Oryzias latipes: one gene and its partner. The protein of the gene in region 1 interacts with the protein of each later gene in a biochemical or structural test. Links are inferred from orthologs where the notes say so. Each region holds a gene or a part of one and is shown on either strand. Other genes may lie near its edges.

Region 1 (5,113 bases):
GCCTGTTTTCCAGCTCTCCTTAACCAGCTTGCTGTTGATTGGCTGACTCAAGTGATTTCACATCCTGATTGACTGAACACACCTGATTTTGGTTATCATTATCGAGCAGTCTAGGGAGAATTGGAAAACAGACAGGGTTGAGGCTCTTGAGGACCAGGGTTAGCCACCCTGACGTTTGACCCCATGTCGATGAGGGTCATTTGGAGTATAATTTTTAAACTGTTGCAATGAAATGGGAATGATGTTTTTGTTTATTTTACTATTTGTTTATTTACCGCAAATTTATCGTTATCGCAATATTGATCACTAATATCGCATATCGCAAGTTTTCCTCATATCGTGCAGCCCTAGCACAAACCGATAAGGAAAAAAACTCTTTAAAATTAGTGCAATAGTGCATTAGTGCAACTCAAATATTTAACATTTTAAACAATCAAAGTCAACCTCTTATGACTGAATTCAACCCTTTAACACCAGAAATGTCACCAGTAACACCTAAATAAGGTACTCTCTGATGTACCGTAAGTCTTTGACTCTTGGAAAAAAGCAGCTTTTCCTATTGGGTTAGCACCCATATGCAACACATCACCAAAGTAAAGTAGCAGAATCAGAGGGAATTACTACGTTAGAGGCGTAAAAGGTTACAATAGCCGAAAGAGTGTCAACACTGGAACTAAAGTTCTGGTGTTAAATCAAACGAGATCAAGTCAAAGTCCTAAAAAATCCAATTCAAAACCTTTTTATACTTTTCAAATCCGACAGATAGTCTGAGTTTGGTGAAACGTGTTTCTCTAATCTGGACAATTGTGTCAATTTGTCTTTAGTTCATCTCACCCTGAAGTGAGGCGGCGTTGTTGTTGGGTGGAGCCCCGCCGCCGCTGCTGCTGTCCTCCAATTCATCCAGATAGAGGCGGTATCGATGTCCGCTGTCGTCCTCATACTCCACGTTCTCGTCATCGCTGTCCACCTCCGGCGCCACGTACACCACCTCAAACTCTATCTGGCCTCTCTAAAACACAATCGCCACAATGAGTAGGTCAGAGAGCGCTCCCTGTGGCCACAGCGGGGACTGCAGCCACACCTTACCTGCTGTGACAAGATGGTGACTGCCTCCTTGTGCTTCGCATCCCTTAAATTGATGCTGTTGACCGCGAGGATGGCATCTCCGACGTGCAGGCCTCTACAACGGTCTGCAGGTTGACCGGGATGGATCTCAGAAATCAGGATGGGAACGCCGTGCTCCTTCCCGCCCTAAAAGGAAATCCAAGTTAAAGGATCTAAAGCCAAAACAGGATCTAAGAAGTTTAACACATTTGTTCCATTACTATTGCAGAGGGTTACTTAAGACCAAAGTGACAAATTCACTTCCTGAAAAGTCTAAGAAAGAATCTAAAACATGGCTGGTAATTGGTGCTTCCTTAAGGTTACATTTCCCAGATACAAAGTGCCTGGTTCAAACCAATGCCTTCTATGGGTCTACTATGTGTCAGATAGTTGCTTTATTTTTCACAAAAGAGGTCAATCGTGTATTTACCGTGATAGAAATCCCCAAGCCTTCATGGTCCTCTTTGACCAGCGCCACCTTCCTGATAGGACCGACTCCCTGCGTTTTCTTCAGCAAGTCATGTTCCTGGAATTGCACCGATAGCTTTTAGCGAAACCATGAAAACATGAACGGCATTTAGATGTTTGAGATCTCCACTCACGTGTCCCACAGGAGAGGGTAGAGGTTTCTTTGGGTCGATGCGACCTCGGCATGCCCGGATTACAGTTTTGTGGCGGTGGAGGTGAATCTCGGCCTCCAGCTGGTTCCACAGCTTGTCATGGGCGGGTCCCTTCATGTCCCGACCGAGTAACTGAATCTGCTGCACCCTGAAAGTCACAGTGCCAGCCTCTTAGGGAAGACAACCCTTAGACAACCTAAGTCTCGTTTACTCAATGAAAAAGATTCATCACCAGGTCTTATCTTTAAACCCGCTGCTCCCTCCAGCTTCTCACCTTCCAGCCAGCTCCTTGTCCAGATATTTGGCAGCCAATCTGGCTCCGTACACCTCAGCTTGCAGTACTGCTATGTGCCTGCGGAGGGCCTCGTTTTCCTTCCTAAACAGATGCACTTCTTTCTCCAGTCTGGCCTCAGCTAACTTCTCCTTCTTACCAGCCATAAGTTCCTGTTCCTGGAAAAAAAAGCACAACTAATCACGTTTGAGCTTTTGCAAACTGGCGACACAACAAACTATAGGTTTTAGGACGATTATGCTCCAAATGATCAAAATGTTATATATCATGACATAGCTAGGTTTATATCCTGATTAAGATATCAGTAACATTGCAACGTGGAAAGGCAGTGTGACACGACTAACTGAACAATGGTCATAGAAACTAAATACTTCTTTCACTTAGAACCTTTTTCCAAGTGTTAATCATGTTAACATCTACTGCTAAACATATTTACTATTTAGCATAGGCCAATTCCTAGCTGTGCCTGAATGCAGCGTCTGGACTTTTGTGTGACTTCTGCAGTCACTAGACGCTGCTTTTATAGCTTTTGCTTGTTGATTCTCTCTGCATTCTTGGTTATGGTTCCTGTAGAGACGACAAACTCCATTAGTTGTGTGTTTGTTGTTAGGACCGGTCAACAGGTGTTTTGCCAAAAGAGAAAACCCCCCTGCACCCCGTCTGACAGCGTTCCTCACCAGGAAGTGCTTTCTTTTTGACACAACACCTTACAAACTTTACAAACAAATGCTGTCTGATCCACGTCGGTCTTCTTCTATACAAACTACATTCATGCGACGGAACAATTTTCTAGTCTGGAGCGCATTTGCTACTGACTTCCTCCATGTTTGTTTGGTGTGAGGCACATTTTGACGGAAAATAGTACCATAAAGTTCCTAATTCTGTTTTGAGCCGTAGAGCTTCATAAAAAAACAATAGATATTTTCTCTCATCTAGATATACAAGTTTCTTTAGGATTTAGACCAAATCATTGCACAAAACGAAATTTTTCATTAGGATTGTTTGCAGTTATTAGATTTGGCGTAACCATAAAGTGCCATCTCAGAAAACATTCTCATGGAAAAAGTCAACGTTGACACTGACTGATGAGCTCATATTTCCATTTCCAAGATGGTGACTGGCCAAGTAATGACTGTAGCCAGTGAGGGGAGGGGAGGGAGTGGCGTTTCCACCCAACAAGCCACTGAAGCAGAGTCGACAAAGCAGCAGGAAGTAAATATCAGCTCAATGAGGGAAGCAACAGATCCCATGGTGTCAAATCTACAGCTACACCAAAGCGGAGAGGAGAACTTACCATCACCTCCAGAGTTGGTGCAGGCTTTAAGGACAGAAGAGGAGAAAGGACAGACAGAAGAAAATGTGGGTTAGAGAAACTCATCTTTGATTGGTGTTAATGTGTGCACAGGAAAGGCAAAAATGACAAAGAATCAAAGTGCATATCAGGGCTTCAGGATGGTGCTGAAAGGGAGCAGAAAACTGTAGATGGAAACAGTAAAAGACCAAACCATCAGTTGCAACAGTAAACAAAGGAGTTAAAATAAACATTCTATTTGTTTAAATCCCATATATTCTAAATGAAAGAAATGGAAAAATGTATTCTTTAGCAGTGAGGAGAAATCTTTGGTATGGCTGCTGGAGGTCATTTCATGCGGTTTGGATGTATTTCTACCTTTTCTTATCTTCTTTAGTTTCGCTGAGTCTCTTCAGCGTCATCAGAGATCTGCAGATAAAAGTGAATTTTCCACCACTGTGGCCTGCTGAGCTTACAGTGAGTGGAGGATTCTCCCGCCCCATTGAAGCCTCTGAAACCCAGATCTGTGTCTGTCACTGTTTGTCCCAGTGGAGCATTCTTCTGGAGACATTTATGATGTAAGAAGCTCCATAAAAACTCCTCTTTCTGAGATTCATTGAGGACATTAGTGCAGAGCAGTGGAGCTAAAAGCACAATGCTGTTTTAGTTTTGTAGTCGCATTCTGACTAATTTATATTTCTTTATCCTGTCTAACCAGAGATGTCTTTAATAAAGATGTCTGAAAACACCAGGTGGACGGCTGAAGGCTAACGTTGATAAGGTTACCCATGACTGCTAGCTCCAAACGGCCGATAACTGTTAGATCTATTCTGTTCGGATCATACAGAACTTTACCATTAGAATTGAACCTAATGGATTTCATTTGATGTTACTTGATGGATCAATCGATGACCGTCTGACCATCCAACCTACCAGTCTGTCCTTGATGGTGTCTGAGTCCTCTGTCTGGCCTTGCTGGGCCCGAAGCTGCAGCTGGAGAGCGTGCAACTGCAGCAGCAGTTCATGGACCTCCCTCTCCGCCACCACCCGCTCAGCCTTCGCCTCCGTCAGCTCGGAGCGCAGGTCGACCAGCTGAGCCTGGAGACAAGCGAAGAGTGTTTTTCAACATAAATGCAGACAAGTCAGACCAGGACCGACCTTTAGATAATCCTGTAACAGATCCTTGATTTAGGGACTGTACTCCACCTGGCAGGTTGAATGACGAGAGGAACTGTATGTCGTAGCAAGACTCAAACGGACAGCACCACAGTTGCTTAAGGGGTTCCGGACCAGCTCAGACAAGTAACCGTAGACAAAGCTCCTGCATCGACGATGCAGATCAGAAATTCTGAAGAAAAATCCTTCTGAATATATAGGAATGTTTTTTGCTTCGTTCATAATTATTGATACATGTGTAAAACAAAAACGTTTTGGTAAATTACAAAGCAAAATTTGTTGTTTTTTCTTTTAGCTTTTTATGCGATTTGAGCATCTAGAGGAATTCTGTTTCATGCAGCAGAGCATCAAAAATTTTGAGTTTCCAGAGTTTAAATATCAACACTTTGCATTGCAAATTAGGAATTGATTTCCATGTTTTTATGCGGTCAGAGACATTGGCATTTATTACACCACAGTCTATTACAAACGTTTCCTTTCGTAGACAGACAGTTGTAGTTGTGTAGAGCAGTGGTCCCCAACCATTTCAACGCCACGGACCAGTATGACGTCACACAGAGGTTCCACGGACCGGTCATGTAATTAAAGGTGAATGATTATTGTCGCTATACTACGATAAACGACCAACAG
Region 2 (6,116 bases), on another chromosome or scaffold:
TCACCAACAAAAAAATGGAAAGGTAACAACTTGAAAACACTCCCAAGCTTTTAATCTTAACTCATGACAGTGTTTTCAATAGATATGTTATGCAAACTGCCTTTTTTATCTTTAGTGGAGATGCCACAAAACTTCTACACTTAGATGAACATTTTGCATACGCGTTCCAAAATGAAACTTCTCCGCCTTCCTAGCAGACATAACATAATTGATCAAAATATCTTCTTAATTTTTACATCCATTACTTGAATCACTTAAAATCTAACACCACCCTGTAATTTTAGAGCAAAAATTACATAAACTGAAGGATTTCTTTACTTCTTTTACTTTACTATTTGTCAAACTTGAAGACTCTGTTGTTCATAAAAGAAATCTGTAATCATCAGCAGGTTGTTTAGATTTTCTTTTTAATCATACTTTAAACATAACAGATACACTGAAGGAACAGGATGAAATGGTTATTATAAAGAGAAAATTAAAGTCAAAGTTTCAAAAGAGAACATAAATAAAACAGAACATCAACCTGCTTTATCAGTTTCATTTAAAAACAAAGCATTAATTCTACAAATAAACTCTAATGTTTTCCCGTTTTACAGAACAAACCTGCTGTGCAGGTCTTACCTTTGTTACTTTGGCTGGAGAATTATCGTTTATTTCAGAGATTGAAATATGCTTGGTGACTCTGCTTCAGCTAATAAAAAAGGTTGGTGGTTGTTCTGTTTTTTGTGGGATTTAAAATGACTGAAATACCCCCTTCGGCCAAATAATAAGACTATTTTACACAGAAATACCTTAGGCGTTTAACTTTTAAAGTGTTTTTTCAATTTTTTAAAAGAAAATGACATTGCATAAAAATTTTAAATTGGTATGAACACGTTGTTATTGTCAGCCACAGGCTGTCGTGTCCTTGGGTAAGACACTTCACCCTGCCCGCCTCCAGTGCAGCTCCACTGGTGTGTGAATGTGTATGAATGTCCCGGTGATGGTCAGAGGGGCCGTAGGCGCAAACTGGCAGCCACGCCTCTGTCAGTCGGCCCCAGGGCAGCTGTGGTTACGACAGTGGTTACCATCACCAGGAATTAATGAGGAGTTAATGAATAATGGCCATGATGGAAAAGTGCAGATAAATCCAATCCATTATTATTTATTATTATCATCTAACTGTAAACCCATTTTCAAACATATATATATATATATATATATATATATATATATATATATATATATATATATATATATATATATATATATATATATATTTAAAATAACAATGAATTAATCTTGTTGTATTTATCCGCCACGTCTTAAAGGTCAGTCCTGTTTACATTTAGGTGACAGACGGAACAGCTCTGCTGCAGGTGTAACAGGTTTATCCTTCGTTCTTACTGGGTGTTGTTAAAAATCGCTACATGTCCCTGTGTTTCATCAGCCAAAACTTAACACGACACAGGTGAAGTGACCGCGGGGGAGCAGTGTGTCTCGCGTGTGCTTGTTTACATCATGTGCAGACAGCAAATAACAGAGGAAGAGAAGACCAAAAACATTTCATGCAAAGGCTTGCTGATAAACATGACTACATTTATGCAAATGTTTACTTGGTTTCTAATTTTTGCGGGTAAAAATCACAATTTTCTCGTATTTATTTCTCCTGTTTGGTTAGGTTCAGGTTTGACTTCTCATGTTTGATATTTGAGTTAGTTTGTGTTTTGTTTCTTTCCACCTTGGTTTGACTCTAACATTTTATTAACTTTCTTTAATAAACTATTCCTTTTTGCTTGAGTGAAATGTCTTCACTTGGATAATATATATATATATATATATATATATATTTATATTTTTGTACTGGTTTATCCCCATCATTTTATGTGAGACAACTAGCAGAATTGTTCGTTAGCTTATTCATTCATTCATTCATTCATTCATTCATTCATTCATTCATTCATTCATTCATCCATCCATCCATCCATCCATCCATCCATCCATCCATCCATCCATCCATCCATTCATTCATTCATTCATTCATTCATTCATTCATTCATCCATCCATCCATCCATCCATCCATCCATCCATCCATCCATCCATCCATCCATCCATCCATTCATTCATTCCTCTTCTTAAACCCGTTTTGGCCCTTTCAGGGTCACGGGGCTGCCGGAGCCTATCCTGGCCACTCGTGGGTAAAGGCAGGGGACATCCTGGACAGGTTGCCAGTCTGTCACAGGGCCATCATTTTGACTAACCAGTTAACCTATGAAGCATGTTTTTGGATGGTGGGAGAAAGCCGGAGTTCCTGGAGAAAACCCACGCATGCATGGGGAGAACATGCAAACTCCACACAGAAAGGTCCCCCACTGGTGTTCTGTTTCAGGTCCCCCAGCTGGGACTTGAACCTCTCTTGCTGTGAGGCAAGAGTGCTAACCTTGCTGAACCGATTACTATCAAATACTTTTTTGCCTCGCATTAATTTTTCTGTTCTATTTGTGATGTAAATGTTTGCTTTTATTGTTTTAATTCTTGTCTATTTTTGTGAGACACCTTGCATAATTTTGTGTAGGAATTGTTCTTCAAAAACTGTCTTAGCTTGTTCACATCTATAACTGGGAAAACAATGGGGAGGGGGGGTTACAGGTGTACTGTACCTGTACATCAGAGAAGATGACCACTGGTAGGACCACCACAAAGGACACAGCCCACATCGCTGCGCTCACCAATTTGGCCACGCGGGGGTGTCTCCACTTGGTGCTGCGGATTGGATGGACCACTGCCAGGTAACGGTCCATGGACATGACTGTGAGACAGAAGATGGATGTGAACTGGTTCATAGAGTCTGCGGTCATGACAATACGGCACAAGAAGGAACCAAACGGCCAATAGGAGAGCACGTTCTGTGTGGTGAGGAAGGGGAGCCCAATGATATACAGCTCATCTGCAACTGCCAGGTTGAGGATGTAGATGTTGGTGACGGTCTTCATCTTGGCATAGCGGAGCACCACGTAGATGGCCAGTGTGTTTCCAGTCATTCCAAACATAAAGACTGTGAGGGAGATGATGGCTGTCACCACGGTGCTACTGCCCTGAAAGGGGATGGTCTGAGTGGACAAATTGGAGGAGAGGCTTGGGGGGAGATGGCTGGAGTAGAGAAAGGGAGTGGCAGTGGTTTCAGAGGAATTCAGCTCTGGGAAGGTATACCAGTTCTGAGGTTCCATCATGAAGTCCAATGCAGATTTAAGTCCAGCTTTTTAGGTTCAGCTGCATCCCAATCAGCTGGTCAGGGGCTCAAATCCCAAGATGATAGGTCACAATGTCCCTGAACAAAACTTCCACCAGGCTTGAAACGCAATTAAGCCTAGAGACAAAAATTTAATTCTATGTGAAGTCAACAGGTTTGTCTGACTCTCAGACGCTTTAGGGTCCAGCTCCGGTTAAGTAGATGAATCCACGCATGTGGTCACGCTCCAGGTATCACAACAGGAAGATCTGCCGAGCTGCTCCGTAAATCGCGTGGACGTTCGTGCGTCAACCTGTGCCAGCGCGTCCAAAGATACAGACTTCACCTCCGGTGTCCTCTCTGCTCACGAGCGGTTCTGCAGCTTAACTTAAACTGCTGCAGGGAGGCATAGGAGCGCGCGGAGGTCCTCATCTGTTCTGGTCCAAATGTGCAAAGAAACGTTAACTGTTGACGGCATCACGATAATCTTAAAAGCTGCGATGGATGATCTGCAAAGATCTGCATCAAACTTTAGGCTCGCGCAGCTTTTGTGTCATTCACGTGAGTGAAGAGAGGTGCAGCGGCACGCACGCGGAGGGACCGCGAGGAGCAGCCCTCCCCAAGACACACATACACGAGCGCGCGCATACGCAAACACATATGTGCACTCATTACCACATCCATCTTCAGTAATATTATTTATTCATATCGTTATAAATATCAAACAAAAATATGAAAAATCCAACAGGTTTGTCGGGAGCGTCTGTACCCGCGTGCAACTTTCGCGAGCACAAGTTTATTCAGTCACTTCACTGAGATTTAAGGATTACAGATGTTAGATCAGAGAACTGTCAAAAACGGAAAACCTTATCTATTAATGCTCTGTTTTATCGTTTCTTTATTTCACACCTATGTTACCTGGAAGTCACTACTTTAGTGTGGTTTACGTCTGCATTTATGGCACATTTTCAACATATTGCTGCTCTCCCGTGTTTCAGACACTGCAGAGCGTGACTGACTGTCTCAATCTTGTTTTTGCCTTTGAGATTTGGCAAAAATAAAACGAGTCTTAAAATATAGCGATGGCAGAGATCATGTTGATCAGCAGATTGTAGCTTTCTTCAGCCTTTCTTCTGGTTTTTAGAAGAGCAAATGTGTGAAGAAGCTGGAACTTCTGCCTGATTCAGGGAGGTGTTTGCACTCCCTGCTCTGCATGGGGTTTTGCTTGCTTTGAGGAGGACTCTAGAATACCTTTATATGACGCAGTTTTTGTATTTTGTGTTTGTTTCTAACTGCACCTGTGTGTTTTGCAAGTCAGCTGTCACTCTTTCTGGATGTGTCCTTAGCAGAAGTTCTGAGAGGGTTAGACCCCCCCCCTCCTGCTTTTTTCATATTTGTGCTTCCCAAACCAGATTTTACCCAAAACAAATCGTTTAAAACAGGGGTTCTCAAAGTTTTTGTTGCGGAGGGCCAAATTAAGAACTCGACATTAGACCAGGGGCCAATTTTGGGGAAAAATAATGGATAAACAGAAAAAGTGGTTTTTAATAACTTCAATGACCAAGTGTCATTTGTACAGTTAACCAGGTCCTCCAGATGTTTTCCCAGTTGCTCTCGGAGGTTGCTGCGCAGATCTTTGCTCGTTTAGTAATTGTATCATTTGACAGACTTATTTATTCAAACTTTTTCTTTTGTTCTGGACAAACAATGTAAGCTACTTTCAAGCACATTCCTTTTACAAACTCCCCGTCACTTAACCCTTGTGCTATTCTAGGCACTTTAACATTGGGAGTTGGGTCATCTGGACCCCACTAGACAGTGCGCTGAACCTTTTTTCTTCAATGATTTGTGATCTTCACTGGTGTCCATGGATTACCGTAAATTCCGGACTACAAAGCGCACCCGATTACAAGCCGCACCCACCCATTTTTACGTGTTAAACTACTTTTATACATACACAAGCCGCGTCAGAGTACAAGCCGCGCATGTGTTAGGCGATATTGTCATCCTGACAGATCACGGTCAGCTTCCCAGAGTGAGTGCAGTTCATTAGCACGTTGTGGGTGTAGCCAGCTTTGCCTCTGGCTCATGTATTTGAGTGTATCGATATCTGTCAAACAGCATGGACCTGTATTCTGTTCACAAGTTCCTCAGTTATGGTGTTTTTATTTCATTCTTTTTTCTTTTCTTTTTACTTATTGACAATCTAGGTATCATACATAAAATTACAAACAGTAACCATATAATCAACATTACATCCCTCAGTTATAATGAGGAAATTTACATCCGCGATTCCACATTTCCCATGAGTCTTAGGGGCTAAAGGCGGGGCCAACGCCCGGCTCGCCATACTATTGTATGTGTTTAAGAATGAGCAAGTATCAGCAGTGCATGGAGGGGTGAACGGGAAAAGCTCTCCTTCCGCTTGTGTCGCGGCAGCGTTATGGGAGTAACAGGACTGTTTAAAAAACACACCGGTAAAATAAAGCAGCGACGACTGAAAAGCGCGCGCCTCAGCACGATACGCGCGCCTCAGTGCGGCGCGTGCGTCAGAATTCAAAGCCTCTGCACTCCGCGGACGCCTCTGCGCTCCGCTCCCGCCCCGCGCGCTCCTTGTCTCCCCTTCCTATCTACTCCGACACCTCTGGCCAGGGCGGCTTCAAGGAGGAGCACTTCGTCCCCGTTGCGCCGGTGGATGGAGCAAATCGTTTCTGTGCAAAGCAATCGGACTTAATACTGTACGTTTTGTGTATGAGGGGCGGGTGCGTTGTTACGTGTGGGAGCCTTCAGACTGCCATCGGCCCCGCAGCTCAATCAGCAGGAGAAGATGTCTCCAGCTCACACGGAGGCTGTGAGCTTTTCAAAGCAAAATTCCGCTTTTACGTTTTCTTTAGAAACCGTAAATGG

The links. The genes of interacting proteins can lie anywhere in the genome.
Region 2: the proteins of gopc (region 1) and somatostatin-like receptor F_48D10.1 form a complex in vitro, tested with the Homo sapiens proteins (2 studies listed by BioGRID and IntAct, with this or other methods). The link is inferred for Oryzias latipes from reciprocal best matches to the Homo sapiens genes GOPC and SSTR5.

The regions. Positions count from the first base shown.
Region 1 is NC_019882.2:11,942,894-11,948,006, reverse strand, and holds part of gopc (Golgi-associated PDZ and coiled-coil motif-containing protein), read right to left. Parts: intron 4,406-5,113; coding exon 4,241-4,405; intron 3,335-4,240; coding exon 3,311-3,334; intron 2,175-3,310; coding exon 1,999-2,174; intron 1,873-1,998; coding exon 1,707-1,872; intron 1,631-1,706; coding exon 1,535-1,630; intron 1,252-1,534; coding exon 1,087-1,251; intron 1,010-1,086; coding exon 835-1,009; intron 1-834.
Region 2 is NC_019859.2:28,479,756-28,485,871, forward strand, and holds the start of somatostatin-like receptor F_48D10.1, read right to left. Parts: upstream 3,784-6,116; 5' UTR 3,211-3,783; coding exon 2,641-3,210; intron 1-2,640.